4 linked regions of the Saccharomyces cerevisiae S288C genome follow. Changing the gene in region 3 together with the main gene of any one other region gives a genetic interaction. Each region holds a gene or a part of one and is shown on either strand. Other genes may lie near its edges.

Region 1 (7,022 bases), on a different chromosome or scaffold from region 3:
TACATTTATTTTATTTCCAGGAAAAAAATAAATCGCTAGCGTATCACTAGCCTTTTCCATCTTCAGTTTTTTTCCTTCCTCTTTTTCGTCTCGATAAAACTCTTGACCATTAGATGCTATTACTCCCCCACGGAGCCCTTCCCACGCTAAGGGGGATGTCAAGGGGGGGACTGAAGATAAAGCTTATTATATTGACGGCGATGATGAAGAGGGCGTACGCATAAAATGTCGTACAAGATCCATAATCTGCAATATTGTTCCCTCAACAGTACTAATAAATCCAAAGGGCGAAGGTACTTTATTATATAAACGCGCACGGCCATTGTATATAAAGGCGATTACATAATAGAATACTTATCGATTCCGTAATCCTTGAAATATAGAATATACATAAAATAGACAAGAACCCAACAGTTGAGGCGCCAGCTTTGGTAATAGCTTAATAATAAATAAAAAAAGATAATATAGCTAGCTAGTATTATTGCTTTTATCCGTATGGCCACCACCACGCAACCACAAAATATACTGATGGATGAACCTTTAAATCTTCCTAATAACAGTGCCCACAACAATAACTATGGAAACATAAATGCGAATATAAGAACTTTTGCTGGTATGAGCATGCACATGCACCCTGCCAGGCTGAACTCTCTGGAGTTTTTGCACAAGCCCAGGAGACTATCTAATGTAAAACTGCACAGATTACCTCAGGACGAGCTTCAAAGAAATACGGACATGAATAAGGGAATGTATTTTAATGGGAAACAAGTTCATGCCCATCACCCGTTTATAAATTCTGGAGCGAACTTTAACGCACATCATCAAGACGTCAGTAAATTAGGCGAGGAGGAAGACGAAATCTCTCCTCTATCACATGATAATTTCCAGTATGAATCCGAGGAAAATGGTAATCCTTCACCTCCCATTTACAAGAAATCTGGAGAACTGGTTAAGAGTTCATTAAAAAGAAGATCCAAGTCCCTACCCATTACTCCCAAATCTATATTCAACAAAACTGGCTCTAAGAGTAAACATGTCAATTTAGATCATGTAGATACTAGGCTATTGCAAAGAAGTAAAAGTGTCCATTTCGATCGTGTTTTACCAATAAAGCTGTTCAATGAAAATGAGAAACCCATAGATGTTGGCAAACAAATGGTTCAACAAGATGTTCTGAATTTCAAGCATAAGCCTTTGACGAGACTAAGTGCCCTTAATGGCGGTAGTGATAGCGTACCTATAGAAGATTTACTATCTGAAAACAACCAAAACGAATATGGAGATACATGGCTACAAAACCCGAAGGGTGTATTCCTATTTGGTACAAATTCTAATAATCGTAGAAATAAAAAAAAGAAGTTTAAACTAAGTGACGATGACAGTGATATTGAAAATGACAATGATAGTGACGACGCTATAAACCGTTTAGTAAGGCAACAAGACAAAGACCAAGCTCATCTTGCGCACGGGTTGAAGAATTTGTTAATAAACGATGACGACGATTATTTAGAAACAAGAACAAATTCTGCTAAATCAGGAGCCAACTTGTTTATTGGAAACTCTAAAAGAATTGTTGGTCTTTACAACAAGAACTTTCCAATATTAAGTGACAGGAACCGTAAGAGTTTAAAACTTAACATATTTCTGAATCTTTCCCGTGGAAGGCCCGTTTTTTTGCAAGAAATTACGCTACTAACTGGCTTCCACAACATGGTTATAATTGGCAAAGTCTTTGTGAAAAACATATACTTTGATAAGAAGATTATCGTAAGATATACATGGGATGCATGGAGAACTTTTCATGAATCAGAATGCGTGTATTTTTCTAATGCCAATGGCATCTTACCAGGAAGCAATATGGATATTTTTAAGTTCTCCATTGATGATATACACAATCCAAATGATAAAGATAGCAATATATCACAATTGGAGTTTTGTATTCAATACTTAACTTGGGGCGTTGATCGTTCTAGGAAGGAATATTGGGACAATAATGATTCGGCAAACTATAAAATTGACGTGGTAACGAATGAAACGAGGACAGGGCCCACAACAGACGTCAATGATAACTACGAGATGAAACATAGTCTTTTCAGAAACCCATTCCATTAAAGAAAAAAACAAAAACTAATAGTATTGTTTTACATATACAAAAGAAAAAAAAAAGATAAGAATACGTACTTTCTATTTTTATTTGAAGGTCATTTTCTTTATATAAAATAATATACTGGAATGATGTTCTTTTTGTTGCTTTCTATATTTGCTTTCTTTTTTTACTTTTTATTCAACTCCAGACGTTCTTAAATAACTCGTTATCATCCAATGAAATGTTAGAACTGGAATTTGAATTCATACTATTATTATTTGTAGCGGTAATTCCAGTGTTCACGAATGGTGACGGAGTATTACAAGGCTGAGGTGTCGTGGAAGTGAAAAATGAGTTCTGGCTTTGAGTCTGGGCAGAAGGTTTTGAGTATAAAGATAAAATGGATTTTTTCAAATCGTTCCTTTGCCCAAATTCACCGACTCTGTTGCCAGTCTTGGTATTAGCAGCACCTATGCTTGTTGCAGAACTAGTTACACTTGTATTAGATGTAGTCTTAGAAAGCGATGAAACCTGTAGGTTTAATAAGCTCGTATTACTCCTTGAGGTGCTTAATAAGTGGGAAGGTGGTTGTGTTTGCGTCTTTTGTAATGAATTTGAGCTCTGGTCCAATCTTGCATTCGAAGCAGGCAACGAATGATTCGCAGACGGCTTATGCAGAACTGGTTCAGTAGAATCATTTAACCCTTCAATACTGGAGAGGTCACCAATCCACTTCTTATATTCATATTTATTCTTGATGAAATTTTGTAAACTGCTCGTATCAGTGATTTTCCTCTGTTTCAATTCATCAGCCAAAGTAGCTTCGTAGTATGAGTTAGCTCTTAAATTGTTTTTGAACTGTATCAGTTTCACCAAATGTTCTTCCTTCCATGTATCCAGATCAACAGATTTCACTTTCGAAATGTGCGTTCCCAATGATCTATGTATACCAGCACATTTAATGCAAATGAAAACACCAAGTGACCAGGAAGCCCAGCGTGGATGTAGTTGCGCCTTACAGTCGGCACAATGACTGTTTCCTGGATCGCGTAAAAGAGCACTTAATGCCTTCTTGACTGGGACTGACGTCGACATCGCTTGTAAATTGCCCCACGTTCTATGCTCCTTTGTACAGTTGAAGCAAGTATTACCTTTACTTTTGTTACTATTAGTACCGATCTTATACGTATTATCGAGTCGAAAATCGTCCAGCACGAAATATGGAAACGGTGCGTTTAGGTGACTAAACTAAATAGCGTATATATTATATATGTTCCAATCTATATATATATATATGGCACTCTGTTACAGTTCCTTATCTTAAAACACAAACACCTGGTCTTCCATCTTGGAAAGCGGTTTGGAACGTCTGAACCCCAAGTCCACGGTACTTCTTCTAACTGAGGCAACCATGGCTGGAGGACCACAGATCAAAATTTGAACGTTGTCCATTGTAGCAGCGGGCAAGTGTTCCTTGATGACATCCTTGGTAATGTATCCTACACCACCAGTCCAGTCTTCACGGTCAGGAGAGTCTAAGTAGTAAACTATCTTAAATTGGGAAGGCTTCATGGCCACCAACGCTTCCAGTTCCTTCTTCAACAGAATATCCTCCTCATGGACGTTCCCAAAGACTAGAGAGACCTTGGTAGTGTCGTGAGGGTCCATGGCAATAGCTTTCATGATCTGATACATGGGCGCAATACCAGTACCACCAGCAATCATCCCTAGATGGGAACGGCAGTTTCTCTCATAATGATAGTTCCCACGAGGGCCCTTGATCTGGATCGAGTCACCTATCTTCAACTCTCCAATCATCTTAGAAACGTTACCTGTGGGGTAAGACTTCACTAGTAATTCAAAGTTTCCCTTTGTATCTCCATCCAACGATGTGGGCGTATACGATCTGGTAATATCCTTACCATTGATATTGGCCTTAATTACGATATGCTGACCAATTGGTAAACCGAGTACGTCGTCAGCATGAGGTAGCCCGAACTTGTACATCGAAGTATTATGCGTTAAGATGGTTTTTTCAACCAGCGGAAATGATTGGAAGTCATTCCTTTTGGGATCCAGCACAGGCTTGGTCTTCGGTCCGATAATGAACTTGAAGAGCAAAGGCACGACCACGATCACGATGACCACCACAAGCTTTTGAGCATCAATAGCCATCTTCGATTGCTTAATTGATTGAGTCTCTTGTTGAAGAGCCAGTTGAATGCATACTTTCAACACTTTTTTTTCTCGTTCATTTTTTCGCCTTATATAATAAGAATATTTATACATATGTAGATAATTTAAAGAAGTAGAAAGAGCCCTTAATGGTACCGCTTTACGAGGAAATTTAGCACTGTTACTTTTTGGAGAGTAGTGCAGTCTTAGAAGGGCCTTTGAGCTTGATGTACACGTCCGTGCCCCAGCCAAGTAAACTTTGAACGTCAATCTTGCCCCCAAACAGTTCTAGGTACGTCTTGCACATTGGTAGACCAAAGCCCATGCCGGAGACGTTGTTGATTTGCTCGCCGGGCAGATCTGTAGACTCAGAGTCAGCTGATTGTTGGGTATGTGTAGAGTAAGAGTAGTTGAACATGAGGGCCTCTACCTCGGGCGTGATCCCACCACCATGGTCCCGTATCCGTAAGTACAGCTCGTCATCGTCTGGCTTTAAAAGATTGATCTCTATGGGCATATGTTCCTTTCCAAGAGCTATCTGAGCTTCAAAAGCGTTCTTGAATACCTCTGTCATAATATACTCCAGAATGGGCGGAATGCACGTGAATGTGATGTCTTGTGATGGCGGGTGAATTAGGACCGGGGTCCGCTGAGTGTTGAACTTCACAAAGCATATATCATTGACATAATCAGAAACGTGCTTGATCAATTGTGCTATGGGGAGGTCCCGGTGCAAGATTCCAATCATCCTTTTGTTCGTGTCACCTTTGTTCTGTGCCATCAACGACAAATAGTGCGTCACAAGCAGCTTCATCGTGATTCTCTCCTTCAGGTGGAAGTTCAAGAACTGCGAAATTTGAAACTTTGGGTAACACGATTGGATTTCCTGAAGACCTTTTGCCAATACCACAATGGCGTCCTCGTGGTCGTCCAGCAGTTCTGTGAACTTGGCCTGTATCTTGGGAGGATTGTGCAACTCGTACGGGTATGCGATTGATAGCAACGTTTGCAAGCTTTTCAAATACAAAGAGTTGGTTCTCTCAATATGAGGGTTGATTACCGCATTATACGGTAGCCTCTGAATGGCATTAAGCCGTTTACACGTCAATGAAAGCAACAGGTTGATTGTCTTGATCGTCAGCATGTACTCCTCCTTCTTGGTCAGCGGCGGCCTGTATTGCAGGAAATACTCGTAGTTTAGGGGCGCAATTGGTTTACTAGCGTAGTCCTGTATCAGCAGCTCAATGTTCGACCTAATCTTGTAATGCTGGTCGAACGACAGTTGCGACAGCAGCTCGTGTGAGGGTCGCTGGCGATGTGCCCAGCGCATTCCCCCACATTTCCATGAACGCATAATCTTCCACATACTACCGTGAAGGCGTCTTGATACCACGTCTTCCAGTTATGGTCTTGACTCACCAATGTTCTCAGTTTAATGTTGTTTGCTTCATACTGGCAGACATTTTCCCTTATTACCGTGAGAAGCGAGCGGTGGATTAATCGGGATGTCAAAAACAAGAAAATTGCAACCTTCTTCACCTATAACCTATATGATTTGTAGGCAGAGGAGTGGAATAAGCAACAAATCATAGTCATCAATGTCGTTTAATGCCTTCGCCAGCTCTTTGAGCAAGAAATTACAGGAAATATCCACAAGTGTTTCCGAAAAAACCCAGGAATTGCCCAGTTTGGCGCAATCCACCCAAAGAATGGTCCAGGAACGTTTGGGCCAGGTGACGGACATCTCCCAATTGCCAAGAGAGTACACAGAGCTGGAAGATAAGGTTGACACCATCAAACTGATTTACAACCACTTCTTGGGTGTAACTGCTATCTACGAAAACGGATCGTACGATTACCCTAAATACATCAACGAATCCGTCAACGAGTTTTCAAGAAGCGTGGCTTCCAAGTTGACAGAGTTGACTCATGCTACATCTGCGTCTGAGGCACAAAACATCTTAGTTGCTCCAGGCCCCATCAAAGAACCCAAGACGTTGAACTACGCCCTCAGTAAAGTGGCTTTGAACTCCAGTGAATGTTTGAACAAGATGTTCCCCACCGAGGAACAACCCTTGGCTTCGGCACTCTTGCAATTCAGTGATGTGCAGGCTAAGATTGCTCAAGCTAGAATTCAACAAGATACCTTGATTCAAACCAAATTCAATAAAAATTTGAGGGAAAGGCTCTCTTTTGAGATCGGTAAGGCCGATAAGTGCCGCAAGGATGTCCATTCCATGAGATTAAGATATGACGTGGCAAGAACTAACTTGGCAAACAACAAGAAGCCAGAAAAGGAAGCTTCCTTGAGAGTCCAAATGGAGACTTTGGAAGACCAGTTTGCTCAAGTCACTGAAGACGCTACTGTGTGCTTGCAGGAGGTTATTTCTCACGCTAACTTCAGTGAAGATTTGAAGGAATTGGCCAAGGCTCAAGCTGAGTATTTTGAAACCTCGGCTGGCCTAATGAAAGAGTTCCTATCCAACTCATTTGCGGAAGAGCCGGAAGCAAAGCCTGAGGTTGCAGAAGAAGAAAAGCCACAGACAGCTATCTCTATGAATGACGAAGACGACGCTTAATAGCCGCCCTGTTCTTGTCTTTCTCTCTCCTTCTCTATATATATATATTTACTTAATACAATATCATATTCTCTAGTGTCGTACGAATATTATCATTTATTTGCTGGCTTTTGTAGTGAGTATATTTTTTGTAGAGAAAATATAATTACTGGAAGAGAAAAAGCTACTGAAAAAAATTTCGT
Region 2 (7,561 bases), on a different chromosome or scaffold from region 3:
AGAATTAGAACTAGAACTGGATAACTTGAAAACACATTGGTCGCACGAAATTGACTTGCGGAAATCCTTGAAATCCAATATCAAGTCATTGGAGAATTCTAAACTATTGACCGATTTGAAAATCGAAAAATTGAACAAGAAAATCGACAAATCCAAGGAAAAAATATCGAAAATGCGCAATGATATGCAGAAATGGTCTCAGGAAGATACCGAGCTGTTGTCTAAGGATACCATAAAGGAGAAATATTTCAAATTGCTAAATGAATCCAATGCCTCTGTGGCCAATATCAACAAAGAAATTGAGTCTTTACAAAATGAAATTTCCAAGATGGAGGAGTCTAACAAGAGATTGAACGCCTCCAAAAAATCATTGATTACTTCCATAGTGGTGAATGCCAATGTGGAAAACGATAAACCTATTGCTAGCGGAGAATTGTCGGCTGTTTTGAAGAAGCTCAATGATTTTACTTTAGAAAAAAATGGATTTTTAAGTAATGCTGGTGAAGAGTTTCTATCCAAATTGAATGCAGACTCATCATTGATTAAAATGATTAAGCAAGAGCTAAGCATTGATCAAGAATTGGAGGCCAACTGGAAATTGCAGAGGTCAAATTTGTTGAAGAAAATTAGTGCTTTAGAAAACCAATTTAATGAAATGAGCCTTAATAATCGGAATTTGAAAACAAAATTAATGGTTCAACCATATAAGAATAACGGTGATTCGCTTGCTGCCACCAATTCGAATAATTCCGCGGAAAAAAACAGAAGTTCTGGATCGATTCAATTACCATTATCCAACAACATGTCAAGAACGGGGTCCATTGATTTAATATCGAATAATAACAAAAGTATTAACAACAGTAATGCTGATTCTGCTCCTCCGTTGAGGTTGCACAATCCAGTTTCGTACTCTCCTTCGAATGAACCCATACAACCTTCAAGCAGTCTATTGAGTCAATTGACACAGGACACCGATAATCGATCAATGCTCTCCAATCACATCTCATCGAACAACGAAAACAAGCAACAGCCTTCTTCATATTCACATGCTTTACCTACAACTGCTACTGCTAATGCAACAGCAACAGCAACAGCAACTAATGGTCACTCAAGGTCAAATTTATGGACCACCGCACAATTCGCTCAACCTTCGCATCAACAAGTATCTACAGAATTGGATCAAGCTTTTGAATACGATAATGCAAACCACTTAATCAGTGGTTTGCAAAATATGATCTACGACGAAACAGACTATCCTGATAACATAAGCAATTATTCCAAGGGTTTTACTACAGACGAACTTGACAATTACTGGACTAAGCAGCAACCCCAGGTGCGCAGCACAAATGAAAGTCTTTTCTCTACGACTGGAACACCTATGTCATCATATAAGGCTAACCCAGTAATATCTCCATATTCTAGTTCTCATTTGCGACAAACCTCCAACGCAACCAATACGAATCCTATGCATCCACAGAGTCTACTCGCCGCTACATTGAATGATCCTTCATTACAAAGTTTTGTACGCAGTGGTTCTTTCTACAGTGCTCCGCAACCTGCAAACTCCTTACAGAACAATATCAATGGCAATGAAACCGAGAACATTAGTCCAAGGATATCAAGTGACTTCAATTTATTGGTGCCAAACTTGAGCCCACGACTCTCAAACGATGTGCCCATTGTTCCAGGCAATAACACTACTTTAACACCTTCACACTCGAACATATTAACAATGAACCATCAACCAACGGCGGATAACATTACACGAAGATCTTTCCATGCCTCTTCACCACCTTTCAACTCCATATGGAATTCAAATACAAATCAACTTTCTCCTCCATTGGAGGAGCAGTATCACCTCGATGTGCCTGTGGGTCCAAAGGTTCCCGCTAAAGAACCAAGCCCTAAGCCTTCTCACAAGAGGAACCAAAGTAACAGCAGCATTTCTTCTGCATGGTCCAAGTTTAAGCACAAGTCTGCATCATCACCTGCTAATGCGGACACGGATATTCAAGATTCATCAACTCCATCAACTAGTCCAAGCGGTAGAAGAATGTCAAAACTGTTGTCCAAGAGCGGTATGAATAATCTATTTAACCCGCACAGTCACGACTCATGAACAATATTATAATACTTCCAGGTCGTGTATATATGTAGATATATAAATTATGAAACATAATATATGAAAGCAGTTTGAGCTTATTCTTAATCATCAATAGGGTAACGGTATTAATCTCATTTTTTCTTTTTTTTTTTCTTTTTATTTTGGCGTCTCGTCTCAATTTCATTTTTCCCATCTTTTTACAACTTCAATATGAAAAACATAACACATGAAAAATAACTGTCAACATTAATAATATTCCTTGCATAGTGCTTCGATTTTCCAAATATAAAAACAGTTTCTTTTACAAGCTTATTTAATTTTGGTTTTAAGGAGAAAGCACTAATAAAAAGGGCAAGGACTGCAATCAACAATCTTTATTGGCGAACAGTTAAGGGTCCTCTCGAGAAGAAACATTAAGACATCATCGCACAAAAAACATGGCGCCCATCTTTAGAAATTACCGGTTCGCTATCGGTGCTTTTGCCGTTATTATGCTCATTTTGTTGATTAAAACATCTTCCATCGGTCCACCTTCTATTGCACGTACAGTTACTCCTAATGCTAGTATTCCCAAAACTCCGGAGGACATCTCTATCTTGCCCGTCAATGATGAACCAGGTTACCTTCAAGATTCGAAGACTGAACAAAACTATCCTGAGCTTGCCGATGCTGTGAAGTCACAAACAAGTCAAACATGCAGCGAAGAACATAAGTATGTTATCATGATCGATGCCGGCTCTACCGGTTCCCGAGTACATATATACAAGTTTGACGTCTGTACTTCCCCACCTACATTACTTGATGAAAAATTCGACATGTTAGAGCCTGGTTTATCTTCTTTCGATACCGATTCCGTTGGTGCCGCTAACTCCCTTGACCCATTACTGAAAGTAGCAATGAACTATGTCCCTATTAAGGCAAGAAGTTGTACTCCCGTTGCGGTGAAAGCTACTGCAGGCCTAAGACTCTTGGGTGATGCCAAATCTTCAAAAATTTTGAGCGCTGTAAGGGATCATTTGGAGAAGGACTATCCTTTCCCAGTTGTCGAAGGTGATGGTGTTTCCATCATGGGCGGTGATGAAGAAGGTGTCTTCGCCTGGATTACTACAAACTACCTATTAGGTAATATCGGTGCTAATGGCCCCAAGTTACCTACTGCTGCCGTTTTTGACTTAGGCGGAGGGTCTACACAAATTGTTTTTGAGCCTACTTTCCCAATAAATGAAAAAATGGTCGATGGTGAGCATAAATTTGATTTGAAGTTTGGTGATGAAAATTACACCTTGTACCAATTTTCTCATCTAGGTTACGGTTTGAAGGAAGGAAGAAATAAAGTTAACTCTGTTCTTGTGGAAAATGCATTAAAAGACGGCAAAATATTGAAGGGTGATAACACTAAGACTCATCAATTGTCATCTCCATGCCTACCGCCTAAAGTTAATGCCACAAATGAAAAGGTTACATTAGAATCCAAGGAAACTTATACCATTGACTTTATAGGGCCGGACGAGCCAAGTGGTGCACAATGTAGATTTCTGACTGATGAAATTTTGAATAAAGATGCTCAGTGCCAGTCTCCACCATGCTCTTTCAATGGGGTTCACCAACCTTCTTTAGTTCGTACATTCAAAGAATCGAACGATATCTATATTTTCTCTTATTTCTACGACAGAACCCGTCCATTGGGTATGCCCTTGTCCTTTACTTTGAATGAATTGAACGATTTGGCAAGAATAGTGTGTAAAGGCGAAGAAACTTGGAATAGTGTCTTCAGTGGCATTGCGGGGTCCCTAGATGAATTGGAAAGTGACTCGCACTTCTGTTTGGACTTATCTTTTCAAGTGTCCTTATTACATACGGGATATGACATTCCATTACAAAGAGAATTGAGAACTGGAAAGAAAATTGCCAATAAAGAAATCGGTTGGTGTTTAGGTGCGTCATTACCATTGTTGAAAGCTGATAACTGGAAATGTAAAATTCAATCAGCTTGAATAAGAACATGGACACCGCTTTTCGTCCCATGTATATTAAGGAAGAGGAGATTGCGGTGATATGTATTCTGTTATATGTCCTATTCTATAACCCTTGAACAATATGTAAACGATTTTTACGTTATGAAAATCACTATTATCCCCACAATAGTTTATTATAACACCGCCGCCAAGACAGGGGATTGAAAAGGCCTTCCGAGGTTTATCCATTTTTGGTAAAAGCCCGCCACGCCTTCAGGTGTTTGAGTATGAACTGGAAGAGTTATCTGTTAGGACCTCATAATCTTGAACATATGAGATAATTTAATATACTTTTGTTATGGATTGTTCCGTTGTTTTAAGACTATATGGCTTTGTTTTAGTTTTAGGGTGATTGTGGATATCACACCGGTCCTCAAGAAAATCGAAAACAAAAGGATAATCGGACTTATCTGGTGATCGAAGAAACTGCATTTCAGGTCGTTTAATAAACTGCTAGCTATTGATATTATATATATAAATAAACCTACAATCAGGTTAGTGTATTCATCTCACTTCTATAGCGTTGTGAAAGGGAAATGGAAATAGTGCAATCTCAATAAATCTGCTTACGTGACATTTTTTACTAAAAGAGAATATGAAAACTGATAGATTACTGATTAACGCTTCCCCGGAGACATGTACCAAGGGAGATGCTGAGATGGATACTATGGATACTATTGACAGAATGACATCAGTTAAAGTTTTAGCGGAAGGCAAGGTATTAAGCAACTTCGAAGAACCGGGCTTAATGAGGTGCGGTTATCATGATGCAAAAAACTGGGTCAGAAGATTATCGAGCGAAACAATTGTCGGTGAGGACACGAGTAATTTATACCCATTTTATGTTGATACTGCATACGATGTAAGGCGTTTGAGAAAGGATCTTATAAATGCTAAGGTTGACTTGCAGGTTGAAAACCTGATAATAATCTGCAATATTAATGATATTTCCACTGTATTTCTCATGAGAGAAGTGGTGGAATGGATCTTACGCAATTTCCATTCAATAACTGTATATGTACAAGATATTTTTAAAAAGTCAACTCAGTTTGCTGTTGGTGACCTCTGCAAAGACAGCAATTGCAGTAAAAACAGAGTAAAGTATTGGTCAAAAGAATTTGTTAAAAAACACGATTCATTCTTTGACTTGATGATTACACTAGGGGGTGATGGAACTGTCCTTTTTGCTTCATCTATATTCACGAAAGATGTTCCGCCGATTGTTCCATTTGCCCTTGGATCATTAGGATTTCTAACAAATTTTGAATTTCAAAATTTCAAAGAAACGTTGAAACATATCTTAACAGATGAGGTTCGTATTAATTTACGAATGAGGTTGCAATGCAAACTCTACCGTAGAAATAAACCAGAAATTGATGCCGCAACTGGGAGAAAAATATGTTACATCGATTTCATCTCCGAACATCACGTATTGAACGAAGTAACCATAGATAGAGGTCCAGCTCCTTGTTTATCCCTATTAGAACTCTATGGAAACGACTCACTAATGACTAAGGTTCAGGGAGATGGATTGATTGTTGCCACGCCTACGGGATCCACGGCATACTCATTGAGTGCAGGAGGCTCTTTAATATCGCCAAGCGTAAATGCCATAGCGGTGACGCCTATATGTCCTCATACTTTGAGCTTTAGGCCTATAATTTTACCAGATAGCATGGAATTAAAAGTTAGAGTAGATATGAACTCAAGAGGGACGTCGTGGGTGAATTTTGACGGAAAAGATAGAGTTGAATTGAAACAGGGTGACTATGTTGTGATAACTGCAAGCCCCTATTCGGTACCGACTATCGAGTCATCTGCCAGTGAATTTTTTGAAAGTATCAGTAAAAATCTTAATTGGAATGACCGCGAAGAGCAGAAGCCATTTGCACATATTCTCTCGCCAAAAAATCAAGAAAAATATAGATTAGACTCATCGAAAAATGGAAACGACACCATAAGTAATCCCCTCGAGAGTTCATGCATAAGCTCAGATGCACAAGATGAGGAGAGGAAATCCGTAACGGAAACAGAAACAGAAATAGTTGTTGAACGGACTCGTCAGGCTCATTTTGCAATCTAACGATTTCCCACATCCTGCGTTTCCGTAGTCAAGGGTTCATAATGGATGATGAGCCTGTAAACAGCTTTGTATTTACCTCTTTTACTTCAAGAATGCTCTTGCGTCGTTTGCAGTGTCGAAGAAGATCCAGTAGAGCTATACAAAATGGAGAAATGAAACAGTTGAACCAGAGCGCCGCATTTGGCAGGTAGTTTCGCTAAATTTCCTCATGCGCGTTTGTAATTATGCTAGTTAACCATATGATAAGGTTGCCTAACTTGCAGTCACCGGAAGGTTATTTCCGGAATGGTGCAGAATAATTTTTAAAATAGTAGCATATATTTCGTTCCAATTCCCAAATAGGGAATTATAATTATGACAGATAAATTCCCGATTAGGAAGAAGCGCGAAAATTCTTGAAAAACTTTTTTCAACCTCGAAGAAAATCGTCGTCCTTCGAAGATTTAGTGGGAATCTTCAAGGTGGATAGTTTCCAAATTAAAACTGCAGAAGAGGCTTTTAAAACATGCCTGAGGTATAAAAAGAACAACATTCCTGGTGATTATGGTTTCTGTTGGACCCTGTTCCCTTTGTAAAACTTCTATTTATTGTCCTGCAAATAAGCTAATTATATAATTAATAATGGCAATCGTTAATAGTTGGCTAATTTGTTTAGTCAGTATTTTTTCCTTCGTGGTACGTGTAGAGGCCGCTACATTTTGCAATGCAACTCAAGCATGTCCCGAAGATAAACCATGTTGCTCACAATATGGTGAATGTGGTACTGGTCAATATTGTCTGAACAACTGTGATGTAAGATATTCGTTTAGTCATGATTCATGTATGCCTGTACCTATCTGCAAGAGTTCATCCACTAAATTCAAAGATTATTCCTCTAAGTTGGGGAATGCTAACACTTTCTTAGGAAATGTTAGTGAGGCTGATTGGTTGTATACTGGTGACGTTTTGGATTATGATGATGAAGAAAGTTTAATTTTGGCGATGCCCAAGAACAGTGGTGGTACCGTTCTTTCCTCCACGAGGGCTGTTTGGTATGGTAAGGTCAGTGCTAGAATAAAGACGTCACATCTTGCTGGTGTGGTCACTGGGTTCATTCTGTATTCCGGCGCAGGTGATGAACTTGATTACGAATTCGTCGGTGCTGATCTAGAAACTGCTCAAACCAATTTCTATTGGGAAAGTGTTTTGAACTACACGAATTCTGCCAATATTTCCACTACTGATACATTTGAAAACTACCATACTTACGAATTAGATTGGCACGAAGATTATGTAACATGGTCCATCGATGGTGTCGTCGGTAGAACCTTGTACAAGAACGAAACTTATAACGCCACCACCCAAAAATATCAATACCCA
Region 3 (9,229 bases):
AGCAGACCAGCATCAGAGGGACCGTAACAAATGCGGTAAGGTCACCCTAATCATTATAATAGTTGTGTGCATGGTGGTATTGCTTGCTGTATTAAGTTAGTAATCTCCTTAAACGCGCATTGAGCACAGACTTTCTGGTAGACCCAATCTTATCTATTTACGAAAACAAGAGTGTATAAGAGTGTATAAGTTATTTTTTGCATTTATTCTTTTGTGGTAGGGGGGTTTCTTAGCCGCTCTTTTTGACTCAAAATTTCCTTTGATGTCTAGTGATAGTGCACTTCCCATGTGCGCAACCTGTGTTTTTTGTACTCCGTAGTTTAAATGCAAGGGCTCGATATGCCCTTTTTCCTTTTTCTACTTTGTACGATCTACACTGACCTTTTTTCAGTAGTCCGTAAATCCCCACGAATTTCTACTAGCGACTGCCAATAAAAAAAGGATTGTGCTACTGTATGTAAAAAGTAAGAACCCTGTTATTTTCCGTTAACTGTCATTTGCCTTACTGTTGCTTAACGGCCGCCAACCGTTATCAAGAAACAAAACATTGTATGCGTTGTCTTCTAAATGAACCTTGTGGGCCCTGATAAACATAAGAACGTGTCTGGCTCGGAAGTATTTATCTTATTTCAATTTTCGCTTTTGCAGAACATCCTTGCCTGTCACTAAGATAAGGACAGAGCGTGGATTAATAAAAATGGCAGAATTTCTCGGCAAAAAAAGAAATCATGCATAATTACCTCGATGTGTACGTTATTGCGGGCACGATCCTGTCGCTACGGCCTGATAGTAGCGGCTATTCTGCTGGCGAAAATTTTCAGCAGTTTGAAATCTTACTGTGGCGTCCCGGTCCAGCCGAGATGACATCTAACTAAGAAATGTCCGCTGCGGCACACCCACGCCGTTGCAGCTAAAGTCGCGCACCAAGCACAGACCTGCTGGAGAATGAGGAACAAGGTTGCGTTAAATGCTTCGGGAAGAACTGCCGAACCGAACCGCTAGAAAAGTGCGCAGGTACCCCGATCGAAGCGGCTCGGCGCTCATTTTAGCACAATCAGAAAAAGGAAATTGAAAGAAGAAAAAAAAAACATAATCATTAACAATTCTTTTCTTGAGATATACGTATATATGACGTCGTCATGTAGTATCTCTTTCGGGATACCCTTTGTAAACGTCCCTTTGTGGAGATGAAAAAAAAACTTGCTGAATAAAGATAGTTAAGGCGCTAGTAATCAAATTAATAACATATTATACCACATCACATCTATACCATTTCCGTTGCACATTGCTTGAACCAGTTGCCAAAATTGACTAAACGGATTTTTACAAAGTCAACGGTGATCACTAAAAGCAAACAACTCAAGCGACGAGGCAAGGAAAGAGAAGAAAAAAAAAATATTACATTGGCTATATAAATATCAAAACATCTTAGGTAAGGCACCTTTGATACATAAAACGAAGAAAATTCAGCACATGCCAGATGGCGAGTGTACCAAGTCTATGCGACATACTGATACCGCTAGAAAAGAATAGTCGCAGCGACGGCGATGCTGAAAGTAGCAATACAGTGCTGATTCAACTGCGAAAAGGGCATCACGAACGGATGCGTTCTCCTTACACAATACAAAAGTTTTACAAATTTCTAAAAAGAGCTCATTGTGAGGAAAATTTAGAATTTTTCGAAAAAGCTCATCAGTTCCTCCAGCTTAAGCAAAACAGGAGTATTAGCGAGGAGAAGCTCTTGGAAGTTTGGAACAAGTCGTTGTACATAAAATACATTGCCGTGGACTCCCCCAAAGAATGCAACTTTTCACAGGATACTAGGGAGATATTTGAGAAGTGCTTTGCTAACAATGAAGTACCTGCCGACGTAGACGTCCTGTGTGCCATTAGCCATGTGATGGGCCTATTAATGGACGGGTATCACCGATTTGTGAGTTCTGTTAATGAGAAAAAGTACTCCGCCACATATGCCCACAATGACTCTGCTACGGAACAAGATCTCAAAAACGAGTCTACAACTTCTTTTTCGTCATTAGGCGTGGAGGATATTTCTGAAGATAGAAATTCGTATCTTAAGAAGCCTGATATCAATGGTTTGTCAACTATCATTCAAGAAACGTCTGCAAACACGACCAATGAGTCGCAATGCAGCGATCGCACTTCTCGGCCAAGCGAGTCCTCTTCCTCACTCAACACTACCAGCTCGACCTACAAGAATACCAGCACTAGAAATCTGCAAAAACCGCAAAATACAGGAATTCTCAACTCGGGGAAAGGTTTATTGCAAAAACTTAACTTTGTTAAAAAACGGAAATCTTTCAAACAGCCTTCAGGCGTCATTTGTAGCCATTATAACAGCAATGTTCAAAACCGTTTGAAAGGACAAAACAGTCATCAACAAAGATAGCCTCTTCATCATCTGTGGAGACACAAATATCTTCATCCTCATCGCCATTACCCAATAAAGCGATCGGTAAAAATGAAAAAAGCGTTGAAAACGGCTTTAAAAAGCTAAATTTGCATGATATCAGTTAATCAAGATTAGAACTTTGATTAAGTAGAACAACGATAGAAAATCCGCTTTTCTGGCTAGTTCCCTCGTTTCATATTAATTCATTTCACACAATTTACTTCATTTCATCACGCTCATATTGTTTGTAACTTTAGTTTTTATTTAATTTTACGTACATGACACTGCATATAATTATTTCACAGGCATTTAAAATAAGAGCATTGGGCACAGTCTTCTTTTATATGTTGTCATATTCAAACACTAAACATTTATCTGTATAGTAATTAATGTTAGCTCTTCCTTCTGCATGGCGCTTGTTATATACTTCATTCGTCTATTTTGGTGCCGCGCGCCATCATGGTCCGGTAACGGTCGTAGTGAATGACTCATATTTTTCCATCTCTTTCGGCCTTGCCAAAAAATGAAAAAAAAAAAAAAAAAAAAAAAAAAAATTAAAAACGATGTCCAGAATCACAACTACAACATAGTTTTGCCTCTTACTGGCTTGATTGGAAGTTAGCTGTTAAATTTCAATAATGCCTTACTTTACTCCACGAAATCACAATCCTTGTTTTCGGCTTATAAGGGTCTTCTCCTTAGGATAATACTATCGGCACATTATCATTTAGCCGCGTAGCCATGGTAAAACATTCGTTCATAGCGCTAGCTGAGCATGCTAGTAAACTAAGAAGGTCTATCCCACCCGTCAAACTGACTTATAAAAATATGCTACGGGACCCATCGGTAAAATATAGGGCGTTTGCTCCACCAAAAATGGTCAAGAGGATTTGGCCTGACAAAACTATTCAAAAGGCTCCACGTTGGCTGTCTACTGACTTGAGGGACGGTAATCAATCTTTACCGGACCCAATGTCTGTGGCTCAAAAGAAAGAATATTTCCACAAGTTGATCAACATCGGTTTCAAAGAAATCGAAGTGTCTTTCCCCTCTGCATCTCAAACAGATTTCGACTTCACCAGGTATGCTGTAGAAAACGCTCCAGATGATGTTGGTATTCAATGTCTTGTCCAATCTAGAGAACACTTGATTAAAAGAACCGTGGAAGCATTGACTGGTGCTAAAAGGGCTACCATACATACTTACTTGGCCACAAGTGACATGTTCCGAGAAATTGTCTTCAATATGTCTAGAGAGGAAGCTATTTCTAAAGCTGTAGAAGCCACCAAACTGGTTAGGAAACTAACCAAGGATGACCCTTCCCAGCAAGCTACTCGTTGGTCCTATGAGTTTTCTCCCGAATGTTTCAGTGATACGCCAGGTGAATTTGCTGTAGAAATTTGTGAAGCTGTTAAAAAGGCTTGGGAACCTACCGAGGAAAATCCGATCATTTTCAACTTACCAGCTACTGTAGAAGTTGCCTCTCCAAATGTTTACGCTGATCAAATTGAGTACTTCTCTACCCACATTACTGAGCGTGAGAAGGTCTGTATTTCTACGCATTGTCACAATGACCGTGGTTGCGGTGTCGCCGCCACAGAATTAGGTATGCTTGCAGGCGCTGATCGTGTAGAAGGTTGTCTATTTGGTAATGGTGAACGTACAGGTAATGTTGATTTGGTTACAGTTGCCATGAATATGTATACCCAAGGTGTTTCTCCTAATTTAGATTTCTCAGATTTAACTTCAATTTCTGAAATTGTCCATCGCTGTAACAAGATTCCAATTCCCCCAAGAGCCCCATATGGCGGTGAATTGGTTGTTTCTGCCTTTTCTGGTTCTCATCAGGATGCAATTAAGAAGGGATTTGCAATCCAAAACAAGAAACAGGCTCAAGGAGAAACTCGGTGGAGAATTCCATACTTACCATTGGATCCAAAGGATATTGGACGTGATTACGAAGCCGTCATCAGAGTCAACTCTCAATCCGGTAAGGGTGGTGCTGCTTGGGTTATTATGAGATCTCTAGGATTAGATGTACCAAGACCAATGCAAGTTGATTTCTCCAATACTCTACAGAAAAATGCAGATGCCTTAGGAAGAGAGTTAAAATCCGAAGAGATTACAAAATTGTTCAAAGAAACTTACAACTACAACAACAATGAACATATATACGTCACCTTGTTGAATTACGAAGTTAAGAAATTGAACCCAGAGCGTAGAGCTTTAGTGGGCCAGGTAGAAATCAACGATAAGGTTGTCAACATCGAAGGCTACGGAAATGGTCCTATCTCTTCTTTGGTGGATGCGCTATCCAATTTACTGAATGTTAAGTTGAGCGTTCAAAACTACTCTGAACATTCCTTGGGTTCTGGTTCTGCAACCCAAGCGGCATCTTTCATAAATCTTTCCTACATAAAGGACATCAATAATCATGCTACTAGTAATATGTGGGGTGTTGGTGTCTCCGAAGACACTGGGGATGCATCTATTAAGGCGGTATTTGCTACTGTCAATAATATTATTCATTCCGGGGATGTTCTACTGGCAGAGTAATAGAAAGGAGTAGCTTATGATTACTCATGTTATATATATATGTATTTTTATTTATAAATGGCACAGAAAAGTAACTTATTTCACGTTAAAAAGACATCTTTCAGCGAAGTTTCCAAACACTTCTTCGATGTCTGTGTGGAAAGTTTCTTTCGTTTATAGTTTTATTATTTTTTTTTGCTTTTTTTCCCATGGTACCATTTCCTTTCGTGAAACATTTTACCCAGGCCCACCCACCGCATAATCTTAACTGAATCCGAATAGGGATTTTTCGAGCACTACTGCAACTGTTGAGTGAGCTAGGAGTAGTGTAATTTGAGACTTTGTGAAGGGAGAACAGTCAATATCCAATATCATATTAAGAAAGCTAGCAGTACCTTAAGAGGAAGAAAGAAAATAACTGGGGCGAAGAATATCTAGTTATCCACTCCTTCATAGAATGATTATCTTTGTTTCAGAAGAACCTGAAAGGAGGCTAGCCATTGTATCCAACTTGTATGCTCTTGTTCTTAAACCGGTTGGGAAAAAGCCATCTGATAAACCCCTTTGTGCCATTGAACTTCTTCAAAAAAATGATTTGAAAAAATATGGCTTCAAAAGACTTACATCACACGAAATTTTTGGTGTTATCGGACTCATTGAGGTTAATGGCCTGCTGTTTGTTGGTGCCATCACTGGGAAATCAAAAGTTGCACAGCCATGCCCAGGAGAGACTGTGAACAAAATTTTTGCTGTCGATTTTTTTTGTTTAAATGACAACAGTTGGGATTTTATTGAAATCGACTCCTCAGGTTATCCTGTGTTGCCGGAGACTGCTTCAACTGAATATCAAGACGCCTTGCCAAAACATCCATGCTATGAATTGAAGAAACTATTATCCAATGGATCTTTTTATTATAGTTCAGATTTTGATTTGACCTCAACCTTACAGCATCGTGGATATGGTCAGCATTCTTTGAGTACAGATACCTACGAAGAAGAATATATGTGGAACTCTTTTCTCATGCAAGAAATGATCACATACAGAGATCATTTGGACACAAATTTGAAACAAATCTTGGATGACGAGGGGTTTTTAACAACAGTTATCCGTGGATTTGCGGAAACTTTCGTCTCGTACGTTAAGAAGTTGAAAGTTGCTCTTACTATCATCTCGAAACAGAGCTGGAAAAGAGCAGGAACAAGATTTAATGCACGTGGTGTGGATGATGAGGCAAACGTTGCCAATTTCGTAGAAACGGAATTCATTATGTATTCTAGCCAATACTGTTATGCTTTTACACAGATTAGAGGCAGTATACCTGTATTCTGGGAGCAAGGTACCTCTTTAATCAATCCAAGAGTACAAATTACAAGATCATTTGAAGCCACCCAACCGGTATTTGACAAACATATCATGAAATCAGTGGAAAAGTACGGACCTGTGCATGTCGTTAATTTGTTATCAACGAAATCTTCTGAAATTGAACTTTCAAAACGATACAAGGAGCATTTAACTCATTCAAAAAAATTGAACTTCAACAAAGATATATTTTTGACAGAATTCGATTTTCATAAAGAAACTTCGCAAGAAGGCTTTTCCGGTGTCAGAAAACTCATTCCATTAATATTGGACTCTCTTTTATCTTCTGGCTATTATTCTTACGATGTTAGAGAAAAAAAGAACATATCTGAACAACATGGCATATTTAGGACCAACTGTTTAGATTGTTTGGATAGAACAAATTTAGCTCAGCAAATTATTTCTTTGGCTGCTTTTAGAACTTTTCTCGAAGATTTCCGATTGATTAGTTCAAATTCGTTCATCGACGATGATGATTTCGTTTCTAAACATAACACCCTGTGGGCTGATCACGGTGATCAAATTTCCCAAATATATACTGGTACTAATGCTTTGAAGTCCTCATTTTCAAGAAAAGGTAAAATGTCACTTGCTGGGGCATTATCAGACGCCACAAAATCGGTCAGCAGAATATATATTAACAATTTCATGGATAAAGAAAAGCAACAAAATATCGATACTTTGTTGGGAAGGTTACCGTATCAGAAAGCAGTGCAACTTTATGATCCCGTAAACGAATACGTAAGTACGAAATTACAAAGCATGTCTGATAAGTTCACATCAACCTCCAACATTAACTTGTTAATAGGATCATTCAATGTTAATGGCGCAACCAAAAAAGTTGATTTATCAAAGTGGTTATTTCCAATCGGTGAAAAATTTAAACCCGATATTGTTGTTTTAGGTCTTCAAGAAGTTATAGAACTATCTGCGGGTTCGATTTTGAACGCTGATTACTCGAAAAGCTCTTTCTGGGAAAACTTAGTGGGTGATTGCTTAAACCAGTATGATGATAAATATCTGTTGTTAAGAGTAGAGCAAATGACTTCTTTACTAATTTTATTTTTTGTTAAAGCAGACAAAGCTAAATACGTCAAACAAGTGGAGGGTGCTACTAAAAAAACTGGCTTTAGGGGTATGGCTGGGAATAAAGGTGCAGTGTCTATAAGATTTGAGTACGGTGCCACTTCATTTTGTTTTGTCAATTCTCATCTCGCAGCAGGAGCTACGAATGTCGAAGAACGTCGAAGTGATTACGAGAGCATAGTTAGAGGTATTACTTTCACTAGAACTAAGATGATTCCTCATCACGATTCGATTTTCTGGTTAGGTGACATGAATTATAGAATAAATCTACCGAACGAAGACGTCAGAAGAGAGTTGCTCAACCAAGAAGAAGGATATATCGATAAACTGTTGCATTTTGATCAACTTACCCTAGGTATTAATTCTGGCAGTGTATTTGAAGGCTTCAAAGAACCAACTCTCAAGTTCCGTCCAACATACAAGTATGATCCCGGGACAGGAACTTATGATTCTTCTGAAAAGGAAAGGACGCCGTCATGGACAGATAGAATTATTTATAAAGGGGAAAACTTACTTCCTTTATCTTATTCAGATGCTCCGATAATGATTAGCGACCATCGGCCAGTTTACGCAGCATATAGAGCAAAAATAACTTTTGTTGATGATAAAGAGAGACTATCTCTCAAGAAACGTTTATTCACAGAATACAAACAAGAGCATCCCGAAGAACCGGGTTCTCTGATATCGGATCTTCTCAGCCTTGATCTGGATAATAAGAGCACTGATGGATTCAAAAGCTCTTCTGAAAGTTCTCTACTTGATATTGATCCGATAATGGCACAACCGACAGCGTCCAGCGTTGCTTCTTCGTCACCTGTGTCTTCAGCATCGGCTTCACTACAACCTGTCAGAACTCAAAACAGTAGCCAGTCGCGTACCCCCATAAAGAAACCGGTATTGCGCCCCCCACCCCCACCTGCTCATAAATCTGTATCAGCACCTGCTCCTTCAACATCGAAGGAAAAATCACCAACACCACAGACCTCAACTGCATCGTTGTCATCTGTGACTAAAAATATACAGGAAAATAAACCATTGGCGCAAAATAGACGAATTCCACCACCAGGTTTTAGTCAAAATATATTAACTCCAAAAAGTACCAGTAACTTGGCTTCGCCTATGTCTTCTAAGGTTGATTTATATAATAGCGCGAGTGAATCTACACGTTCAGCCCAAGATGCAAGACAACAGACACCTACAGCATTTGCAGCATCAAGAGACGTCAATGGGCAGCCCGAAGCTTTGCTAGGTGATGAAAATCCAATTGAGCCAGAGGAAAAGGCCAAACTAAACCATATGACTTTAGACTCATGGCAGCCATTGACCCCAAAATGAGAATATGTTATCTTTGAAGTGTGGTTGTTGTTCCGTTTGTATCCCTTTAAATGAACGAAGAGAAACAAGGGGGCTAACCTGGCCAGGTTGTTTTATGTGATTTTATTTAGATAAATATTTATATAAATATTCAGTGAGAGAAAAGGAGTGCGTTAATAAGGCGCGCCGGGTTTAAAGCTGAAAAATAGGACACATTAATATATATACGTTAAATATTGGTGAATACTTATGGGCAAGGTGGAAGAGAATCTCTACTATCCATAAATCCTCAGTAGGCTTTCCCCTAATTACCTTCATTTTTCTACCTCAATAACATATTACTCCTTTTCAATACATTTTATGGTGGTGAACACGATATATATCGCAAGGCATGGATACAGATCCAACTGGCTTCCGGAGGGTCCATATCCTGACCCACTTACAGGAATTGATAGCGATGTTCCTTTAGCAGAACACGGAGTCCAGCAAGCCAAAGAGTTGGCCCATTACCTTTTGTCCTT
Region 4 (9,471 bases), on a different chromosome or scaffold from region 3:
ATTCTTCATCATTTTTCTTGCTTCAAATGCACGCTTTCTTTGTTCTTCACCGATCTGTTTAGAGATACCAGGCTTACCCACAGCAATACGATCAGCAGTTTTAGAAGGCAGACCATCTCTCCTCTTATTCCTTGCAGCCTTTATTTCAAACGGATTAAACTCTTCTCTGATTTCAGCAATGGCCTTTTTTTTTTCTTCACGATCATACTCCTTCGCTTGTCTTTTGGAATTCTTTTTATTCTTACTTTTGACGTTTGTTTGACCTGTGAGTCCACGGGCCTTCAAGGCGGCCTTTAAATTCTTAAGTTGTGAACCGGCCATGTATTTGATCTTCCCTTTTATTTGCTTCTCAACTGTACTATTTACAGTAATAATTAGTGCAACCTTCAGATGCTTCTCGCTAAATGCTCATCTCTAAATTATCATTATTATTCCTAATAAATCCTAAAATTTTTCACTCGTTCTGTACGGCTCATCGCCCCAATATTACCCGTCTTGTATGTGATCTTTTTGACTTTTCGGTGGCAAAATGCAAAGGGGAATCCAAGGAAAAACCATAACAGGACACTACATCAGAGATAATCTTGAATTAAGAGAGTAGAGGAATATACTGCTGGGCTCACTACCATTTTTGTTGCTAGAGTAAACGTAGAGAAAGATGTCAAGAGATGCACCAATTAAGGCTGACAAGGATTATAGCCAAATTTTGAAGGAAGAGTTTCCTAAGATCGATTCGCTCGCTCAAAATGATTGTAACTCTGCTTTAGACCAACTGTTAGTGTTGGAGAAGAAAACCAGACAAGCTTCAGATCTGGCCTCCTCGAAAGAAGTTTTGGCCAAGATTGTAGATCTGCTAGCATCAAGGAATAAGTGGGACGACCTAAATGAGCAATTGACTCTACTCTCAAAAAAGCATGGTCAGTTGAAATTGTCAATTCAGTATATGATACAAAAGGTTATGGAATATTTGAAAAGCTCGAAATCTTTGGATTTAAACACCAGAATTAGTGTCATTGAAACTATCAGGGTGGTTACAGAGAACAAAATATTTGTAGAAGTGGAAAGAGCTAGGGTCACCAAAGATTTGGTGGAAATTAAGAAAGAAGAGGGTAAGATTGATGAAGCTGCAGACATCTTGTGTGAGTTACAGGTTGAGACCTATGGCTCCATGGAAATGTCTGAGAAAATTCAGTTTATATTAGAGCAAATGGAATTGAGTATATTAAAAGGTGATTATTCCCAAGCCACGGTGCTTTCAAGAAAAATTCTGAAAAAAACTTTTAAAAATCCAAAATACGAGTCATTGAAGCTAGAATATTATAATCTTCTGGTAAAAATTAGTTTGCACAAGAGAGAATACCTAGAAGTTGCGCAGTATCTGCAAGAAATTTATCAAACAGACGCCATTAAATCAGATGAGGCTAAGTGGAAACCTGTTTTATCGCACATTGTATATTTCTTAGTCCTTTCACCTTACGGCAATTTACAAAATGATTTAATTCACAAAATCCAGAATGATAACAACCTGAAAAAATTAGAAAGCCAAGAATCTTTAGTAAAATTGTTTACTACGAATGAGTTGATGAGATGGCCAATTGTTCAAAAAACCTATGAGCCCGTCTTAAATGAGGATGATTTGGCATTTGGTGGAGAAGCTAATAAGCATCACTGGGAAGATTTACAAAAAAGGGTCATCGAGCACAATTTAAGAGTCATTTCCGAATACTATTCCAGAATTACTTTACTAAGATTGAATGAATTGCTGGACCTAACGGAGAGCCAGACGGAAACATACATCAGTGATTTGGTAAACCAGGGCATCATATACGCTAAAGTTAATCGCCCAGCCAAAATCGTGAATTTTGAAAAACCAAAAAACTCAAGCCAATTATTGAACGAATGGTCACATAATGTTGACGAACTATTAGAACATATAGAAACAATAGGCCATTTAATTACAAAAGAGGAAATCATGCACGGTTTGCAAGCTAAATGAAGAGATTTTCGAGTAAGTGTCGGATTATCTCAGATCCGGTTTTGATTTTAAATCTGTTACTAATCGAAATGTGTATTTACGTACGTGAGATAAAATTATCTATGCATATATATAACTCAAATGGAAAATGGCCACGTATTGCTCTCATTCTCTTCACTTGCTTACACAAAACATAAGGTGACAATTAATGGAATTTTAGTTTTTCAATTTTTCAGGGGAAAGAAGACACCCAAAAAAAAAGTGAAAAGTCAAAACGGTAAACTGTTTATGGTATTTAAATGACATTAATAGCAGCGTAAAGAGTCATTTTTTCGTTTGATTAGCAAAACTCTGAACATTAATTACTACACCTATAGACATATCTTTAAACAGTGAAATATTTTTTTCATTTAGTAAACAAGAATTAAACTTTGAATATTTTTTTTTCGATTAACTTATGTCACTTTAGCCTATACTTTCTTCGAACATTTTTCCTTTCATTTTGACTCATGATATTAGATCCATTATCTCCAAATATTGAAAATCATACTCAAGATGAAATAATTGAGTTTTGGGAAAAAACTGAGTCTATTGCTAACATACCAAAGGAAAACTTGGATGAATCCCATGTTAACTCAAGCCTGGTTGCCTACCTGAAGTTTGCTACTGATTCCTATAAGGTTTTTATTAATACTGATCGTGACCTCTACCGGATGTCGCTAATACTGTTAGAATCGTCCTTATTTGAATTTAAAAAAGAGTTTTGCCTAAGTAAGTTGCAGTCGTTACTCAACATAGACCTACTGGAAATGAATATGAAGTTCATTATTGTTTACATTCTTCTCTGTGAGGCGAAAAAAAACGTGTACTCCTTAGAAATCATGCTCAAGTTCCAAGGATTTACTGTGTTTTATAATACCTTGTACACACAATTCGCCTATTTGAGCAAATACGGAAAGGAAAGGACAGTTGCTTCTAAACATCAATACAATTCTAATAATTCTAGCACAGGTACATCCTTGGACAGTTTAGACCGAAGTTTGACTGATATTGATTTGGGTATTATAGACGAAATGAAGCAAATTTCAACTGTTTTGATGGATTTGTTATTTCAAATTATGAAGTACTGTAAGTGTGTTATTGCTAATCTTCAAATTGTGGATGACTTTTTTGTTTACTATATGATGGAATCAATGAGGTCCGACACTATGGACGATATGTTCAATAACGCGGAGTTTAAACTGCTGTTGGCGTTGAACGAACAATATATGATGTTTGCCAAGGAGTACGACATTGAGAACAAGGTCTATAAGTATTTGATCAATGGGTCTGTCTCAAGATGTTTTACGGAGCTATTATTACTGAAATTCAATAGGGCATCGGACCCTCCGTTACAAATTATGATGTGCAAAATTATTTATCTTATCTTGACACCAAGAGGAGACTACTCTCCGATGAATTTCTTTTATACAAACGACTTACGTGTTCTTATCGATGTATTAATCAGAGAACTACAGAATATCAGTGAGGATGAAGAGGTATTGAGAAACACCCTTCTAAGGGTTCTGATTCCGCTATTAAAGAATACACAATTATCCAAAACACATTATAGAAAGGATGATTTGAATAAACTATTAAACTACTTGTCGACTTTAGATAATATATGCGTTGACAGTCCAGCGTTGCACGAGCATCAAGTTACAGTGGCCTTATCTCGGAAGTGTCTTCAACAAATTCCTTGGTTAGAGACACCTTCAACGCCTTCAGATGGAGGTTCATCGGTCTCTAGTAATAACACTAGTAGAAACTCTAGCATTGTTGCATTGGGGACGCCCGACAATCAAAATATCTTGGCTCGTAAAGGCCATCTTTATAGTAATCGTGAATTAGATGTTTCTGCAGAATCTTTGACTAAAAGAAAGGCTAAAGCTCCGCCTCCGCCTCCTCCTCCTCCTCCATCAAGAAAATGTGGAACTCCAAAATAAGTAAAGCATTATTTCTTCTTGCATTAATGTGGTTCTTCCGACCATTTCTTCTTCTACTCACTGCAGTATCTAATGACACATTGTACTTTTTATATACAAATGCAACAATCGTAACTATAAAACTAAAGTTCGGGTTGCTTCCGAATACATGCTGGCAGAATTTCAGGTTGTGTGTCACTTGTTAAAATAGGCGATATTTTTTATTTTAGAAGTTGTATATAACTGTTAATTACATAGTCAGTTTTTTTTTTTCACTATCATATTGTTTAGATTAAAAGGACTTGTCACATGAAATTTAGGTCGAGCAGAATACAATCCCGAGAAAATCAATAGGCAAAATAGCATTTATACACGTATTCTTAATCCGGATGCAGGTGCACCGATCTTAGAAATCATAGCAATTCTATCTATTTTATCTTTTTCCGTGATAACGTATTTACTACCTGTTAATGGGTCAGAAACGGAAGGTGTATCTTCATAAATTGGTTTGTAGGTGGCTGCACAAATATCGAATTTAGCATAAGGATCAAAGTCAATTGGAATGGCGTCACTGGCCATTGAGTCGGCTTTGTTTTTGATTTTACGTGCTTGTTCTGCACGAGGACCAGAAGAAATAATCTTTAAAAATTCACCGGCAAAATATGAGGCCTGTAAGAAATTTTTGTGTTTGAAATGTTGGGACATAGCCACTTGTAAAGCATTGGTACGATGAATTGGGGATAGTTTTGCCTTTGTAAAGTATGCAGCTAGCTCAAGCATGCGTACAGTATTTCCCTCCTTTAATGAGCGGCGTTCCAATTCAATGGATAAACCTAATATATACTCCCTAGCAGTTTCCAGTATCTTGTGTGCTAATTTTTCATCTTCAGCATCATCGACCATTAATAGCGTAATACGGTAGATAGCTTCTCTGAAGCATTCGATTGCAATATCTGGTTTGTTTAGTTTAAAGTTTTTGTAACCCTCATTCATTTTTTCATTAACGACATCAAGACCTGGCACGTAAGGAAGAATTTGATCTTCACTTACGGTATCATCATACGCTCTGACATAACCTAATTGAGCAGGAAGTTCACAGGGCGTACTAGGAATGTATGTTCTACAACCCTCATAAATGTTGGTAAAATATTTCTTCAATGGCTCCAGCTTGACTACACCCACTTGCTTGCTCAAGGCTTGAACAGCGGCATCAAAGGCACCAGCGGCAACTAGGACAGCAGGCAGTTTAGAATTCTTGATCCAAATGGCTGTTTCAACTTCCTGTGCTGGAGAGGTAATTTCGCCTTGCTCAACTTCTTCAGGTAACTCTTCTCCCACATCCAAATCTTCGTCACCCAAATCCCAGGCACCTTCGTCTTCACCAATATCCTCATCGTTAAAGTTTTCTTCGCCTAGTGGTTCTTCTTGCTCTTGAGTGGTGTTTACTGCTGGAGTTTCATCGTCTATAGTCAAATCGTCAATTTGACCTAAAACAGCCTTTTCAAAGTAAGATAGTTCAGCCTCTTTTAATGGCCATTTTTCAAGTGGCTTTGAGATCACTGGTCTTTGAACGAAGTTGGAGGCATCCATCTGGTCTGGTAAAGTAACATCTTGTTCATCAACTTCAGCTTGCTCCAAGAAAGCAGAAGCAGCCGCTTCATCTCCGTTAGCCTTTGCTACGGCATAAGCTAATGGTAAAGAGCCGCCCTCTGCAAAAATGCTAGATCTTTCCTTGGTTGAATTGTTGTAAAAGGTGTTTAATAGCATACTTCCAAAGTCTTCACGAGTCTGAGCGATATTTTGCATTTTAGATAGTTTGTTAACGTCACCTGTAACTAAATACAGGAAGGAAAGTTTGTCAAAAGAATGTTGAGTTTGATAAATCATTTCAGCTAAGCTGGCATTACCTTGTGCCAAGGCTTCTTGGATTAATCTTTCCCAAGTACTAGAATCATTCAGTTTTTTGGCTTCATCTAAGGCAACATCCAAATTACCGTATTCCAAAGCTAAATCAAAACGGATATGTGGGTCTTGAACGAATTGTAAAGCAATTTCTGGGTAACCTGACTTCTGCAGATAGGAAATGATATTCTGGCCAACCAAATTAGAATCTTTTATCAGACGTAAAACTTCTGGGAAATTTTTGTTAACCAGGGCCTTTTTGAAGCGATATTCTGTAGGATCAATGGTTAAAATTTCAATCTCACCTTCACGGTTCAAGCAGTACACTAATTTTCCCTGAACTTTTGTGATATATAAAGTTTTCTCCAAAGTTTTAATAATACCTCTATCCCCGTTCAATAGTGAGTACCTTATATGATTTAAAGTTGAATAAATTAATACACCAGTTTCATCCCAAGCGGCACTTTTGATTCTAATCGTTTCATGCATAGAATTAATCAATTCTAGCTTTTTGGTAGCCAAAGTTATGGTGTGCTTACTCATCAATGCAACATATTGACCATCTAAGGACCACGAAACGTACTTGACGTTTTTAACAGCCAATTGGGATACTTTTTTGCCCTGTTGGACATCATAAAGAATAACTTCTCTGGGGTGTATGACCAAAACAGATCCAGGACCTGCAGCTACAATAGTTCTTACTGTTTCCTCTACTTTGATATTTCTTGTAACTTTGTTTTCGAGAGAGCGAACTTCAACAGATTCAGTGTTCTTGTTGTAAACAACAAATCTATTACGACCAACAAAAGTAGCAAAATTACCTGTATCTTGGGTGACACTTGTTGGCTCCACAGCTCCAACTGGTTGTTTTGGTAAAATAACGAGAGCAAATTTGCCATTAGCTTCATTAACCAAAACTGAATGTTGGGAGGGATTGTACGATATACTTCTGAATGCATCCCAAGGTTGACCAATACCCTTTAAGGACGCATAAGGTAATGAAGCGACTCTTTTCTGGAAATTGAAACTTTGGATTTGCTTTTCCGCATTGACAAAAAACAACTGGTTTTGATGGATAAAGCTGCATGGTCTTTCGCGATCGAGCTTGAAAACCATAATACCAGAATCGTGAGCTGCACCAAATAGATTGATATGAGGATGTGCTGCAATCAACCAAAATCTATCGTTTTCTCTTTTGAATTGCTTTACTGGAGTTCTCTTGTCAAGATCCCAAACCCTTAGCGTTTTGTCTTCACCGACAGAAATGATCAAGTTTTGATGTGGGTGAAAGATAACACTATCAACATTGTTAGTGTGACCTCTGCAAGTATCAACTTCCCAAGCTTTCGTAGCACTCATTCTCCATAATTTAACTTGACGGTCGTCACTGCCGGAGACAATCAATGGTAAAGTTGGATGGAAAGAGGCCCAGTTGACACCTCTTGTGTGACCCTCTAGAATAAACTTGACAACACAGTCACCAAGAGAGCCATCCAATAGATTTTGTTGTGCACTCATTTGCTCCTCAAATGAACTAGTACCAGGAGCGGAGTGTCTTTTCCTTAAACCGGAAATATCCCAAATTCTGATGGTTTCATCCAGAGAAGCGGAAACGATCAGGTCATCGGTTGGATGAAATTGAGCACACATGACAAAATGATTGTGGCCGGTCAAACATGCAATTTCCTTACGGTTTTGCCAGTTCCAGATTCTTATGGTCTGGTCATCAGAAGCAGATATGATCCAAGGCAGCTCACGGTGGAAAAACACGGTACGGACATAATCCAAATGCCCAGTTAAGGTGTATAGACATTTGTTAGTATCTAAGGACCAAACTTTAATGGTATAGTCGTCACCTGCCGAAACAAAAATCGGTTGGGTTGGATGGAAATCTAGCCCACGAACAGGGCCCTCGTGGTCTTCAAATCTGTGAAGTAGTGTTCCCATCCTGTAATCCCATAATTGAATAGTAGAGGAAAACAAAGCCACCAAAACCCAAGGTCTGGAGGGGTGGAAGGCAATGCCCTTGGCCCTAGTGGACTTTGATTCAAATTTAGTTAACATCTTCATCTTGATCCAGTAATGAAATGAACAAAGACACTACAGAAGAAAAAAAGTATACTGATTTCAGGTTAAATAAACCGCGAATTTGTAAACAGGTATGATAATGTTTTTATTCAAAAGTGTAAAGGGAAGATAAAATAAAAAGAAAAAACTTTATATCTTAAGCAAAGAAGGGGGTAAGTAACAAATGTTTGGAAAATCCTGCTGGTTTCGCCAATTCTATGATTTACCTAATTGCAATGCCTCTTCAAACAAGTTTGTGGTCCCTGTATGCTACTGAATCGAGGCTCAATCGTCACAGTCTCGAAGACGGATCTGTTATTTATTCAAGTTGGCAAATTGTCGATTTCGTTTCGTGTTGTCGAAATTTTCGGTCGCTCTGTACGTCGTATAAATGCTGACAATAAGAATAATAGTTAAGAGTACATACTAAATTATGTGTTACAATATACTAGATGAAGGCTCGTCAACGAGGCAAGCAATGGTTGGAACTACTCGTCCACAAGAGTGGCAGTTTTTTCGTCGAACTTCAATAGGCCTTTCCGCTCCTTTAGTTTGGCCTGTACTAGCACAAGTAGGTTGTATAAGATAGAAAGAGTGGGTGTAGCGACGCCGTTTCTTTTCGCGATTCTTATGGGGTTGCCTAGGATGACTTCTAGCTCCATCAATTGGCCCTTCTCGCAGTCCACGCACATGGATGGCTTGAACACCTTTTTCCTGGTAATCTCTGTAAACATCGTTATGAACTCCTCTTCGATAATGATGCCTTCACTCGCCGCAATGGCGATGATCTCCCTCATGGCAGGGTGGAACACTTCAATTTCTGTGCTCTTCTTGTTAACCCCAAACTCCAGGCAACGCGGAACGTCTAGCCCCACAAGTGCCGTGGATGTGTTGATAGCTGCATTGTAGAGCAACTTCTTCCACCGAGAGTAACGGACCCTAGGGTCAAATTCGACAAAGTTTTGCCCCTCGTTGCTGTACATCCTGACGAAGTCGTTGGCAGCCTGGATAGCAGCAGCGTCCTGTGGATCAAAAGCTCCACACGATAAGTGGTCCTGGCCCACTTGACTGATATGGCCTGACCCGATCTTAGTGGATCCGATTAACTGGATGCCAGAAAGCACCGTGTAACGATACTGCTCTCTGGGAAATTCCGCCCATATCTCCTTCTCAATATCGATTCCGTTCTGTACCAGTAAAATGTGTGTCGTCAATTGCGGCCCATGTAGCTCTTTATTCTTCTCAAGCACAGGTCTGATGATGTTGGACACCCTTGAATTAACGGGCCCATCTATGATGTTCTTGGTAGTCACTACAATATAGTTGTATCCTTGGTTGTCTGCGGCAGAAGCAGCGTCCTCGACGCTGCTGTAAATATGGTGGGGTCTCCAACCTTCTAACCGGCCATAGTCACATGATTCGATTGTGTAGCCATGCTTCAATACCCTATCGTAGTCAGATCTGACTACCAAGGAAACGTCGCTCTCCTTCTTAAGCCACAACGAAAGCGCAGTAATGACCCCAACGCCACCTGCCCCGATAACTAGTATTCTAGACATTTTC

Evidence for each region.
Region 1: mutations in INP53 (region 3) and AGE2 together harm fitness more than expected from each alone (negative genetic interaction), as found in Saccharomyces cerevisiae (3 studies listed by BioGRID).
Region 2: mutations in INP53 (region 3) and GDA1 together harm fitness more than expected from each alone (negative genetic interaction), as found in Saccharomyces cerevisiae (3 studies listed by BioGRID).
Region 4: mutations in INP53 (region 3) and COP1 together harm fitness more than expected from each alone (negative genetic interaction), as found in Saccharomyces cerevisiae (3 studies listed by BioGRID).

What each region holds. Positions count from the first base shown.
Region 1 is NC_001141.2:270,666-277,687, forward strand, and holds AGE2 (GTPase-activating protein AGE2), read right to left. Parts: upstream 3,182-7,022; coding exon 2,285-3,181; downstream 1-2,284. Other genes in the region: putative protein phosphatase regulator PIG2, read left to right, coding at 496-2,112; CBR1 (cytochrome-b5 reductase), read right to left, coding at 3,407-4,261; protein kinase PKP1, read right to left, coding at 4,443-5,627; GVP36 (Gvp36p), read left to right, coding at 5,860-6,840. UniProt on the Saccharomyces cerevisiae protein: GTPase-activating protein for the ADP ribosylation factor family.
Region 2 is NC_001137.3:71,230-78,790, forward strand, and holds GDA1 (guanosine diphosphatase), read left to right. Parts: upstream 1-2,541; coding exon 2,542-4,098; downstream 4,099-7,561. Other genes in the region: GTA1 (Gta1p), read left to right, coding at 1-2,119; YEF1 (NADH/NAD(+) kinase), read left to right, coding at 4,715-6,202; chitin transglycosylase UTR2, read left to right, coding at 6,824-7,561. UniProt on the Saccharomyces cerevisiae protein: After transfer of sugars to endogenous macromolecular acceptors, the enzyme converts nucleoside diphosphates to nucleoside monophosphates which in turn exit the Golgi lumen in a coupled antiporter reaction, allowing entry of additional nucleotide sugar from the cytosol.
Region 3 is NC_001147.6:519,873-529,101, forward strand, and holds INP53 (phosphatidylinositol-3-/phosphoinositide 5-phosphatase INP53), read left to right. Parts: upstream 1-5,405; coding exon 5,406-8,729; downstream 8,730-9,229. Other genes in the region: SNAP receptor VAM3, read left to right, coding at 1-100; GTPase-activating protein RGS2, read left to right, coding at 1,481-2,410; 2-isopropylmalate synthase LEU9, read left to right, coding at 3,155-4,969; transcription factor TFIIIC subunit TFC7, read left to right, coding at 9,069-9,229. UniProt on the Saccharomyces cerevisiae protein: Dephosphorylates a number of phosphatidylinositols (PIs) like phosphatidylinositol 4,5-bisphosphate (PtdIns(4,5)P2), but also phosphatidylinositol 3-phosphate (PtdIns(3)P), phosphatidylinositol 4-phosphate (PtdIns(4)P), and phosphatidylinositol 3,5-bisphosphate (PtdIns(3,5)P2).
Region 4 is NC_001136.10:190,266-199,736, forward strand, and holds COP1 (coatomer subunit alpha), read right to left. Parts: upstream 7,912-9,471; coding exon 4,306-7,911; downstream 1-4,305. Other genes in the region: snoRNA-binding rRNA-processing protein NOP14, read right to left, coding at 1-321; proteasome regulatory particle lid subunit RPN5, read left to right, coding at 659-1,996; LDB17 (Ldb17p), read left to right, coding at 2,485-3,960; YDL144C (uncharacterized protein), read right to left, coding at 8,397-9,467. UniProt on the Saccharomyces cerevisiae protein: The coatomer is a cytosolic protein complex that binds to dilysine motifs and reversibly associates with Golgi non-clathrin-coated vesicles, which further mediate biosynthetic protein transport from the ER, via the Golgi up to the trans Golgi network.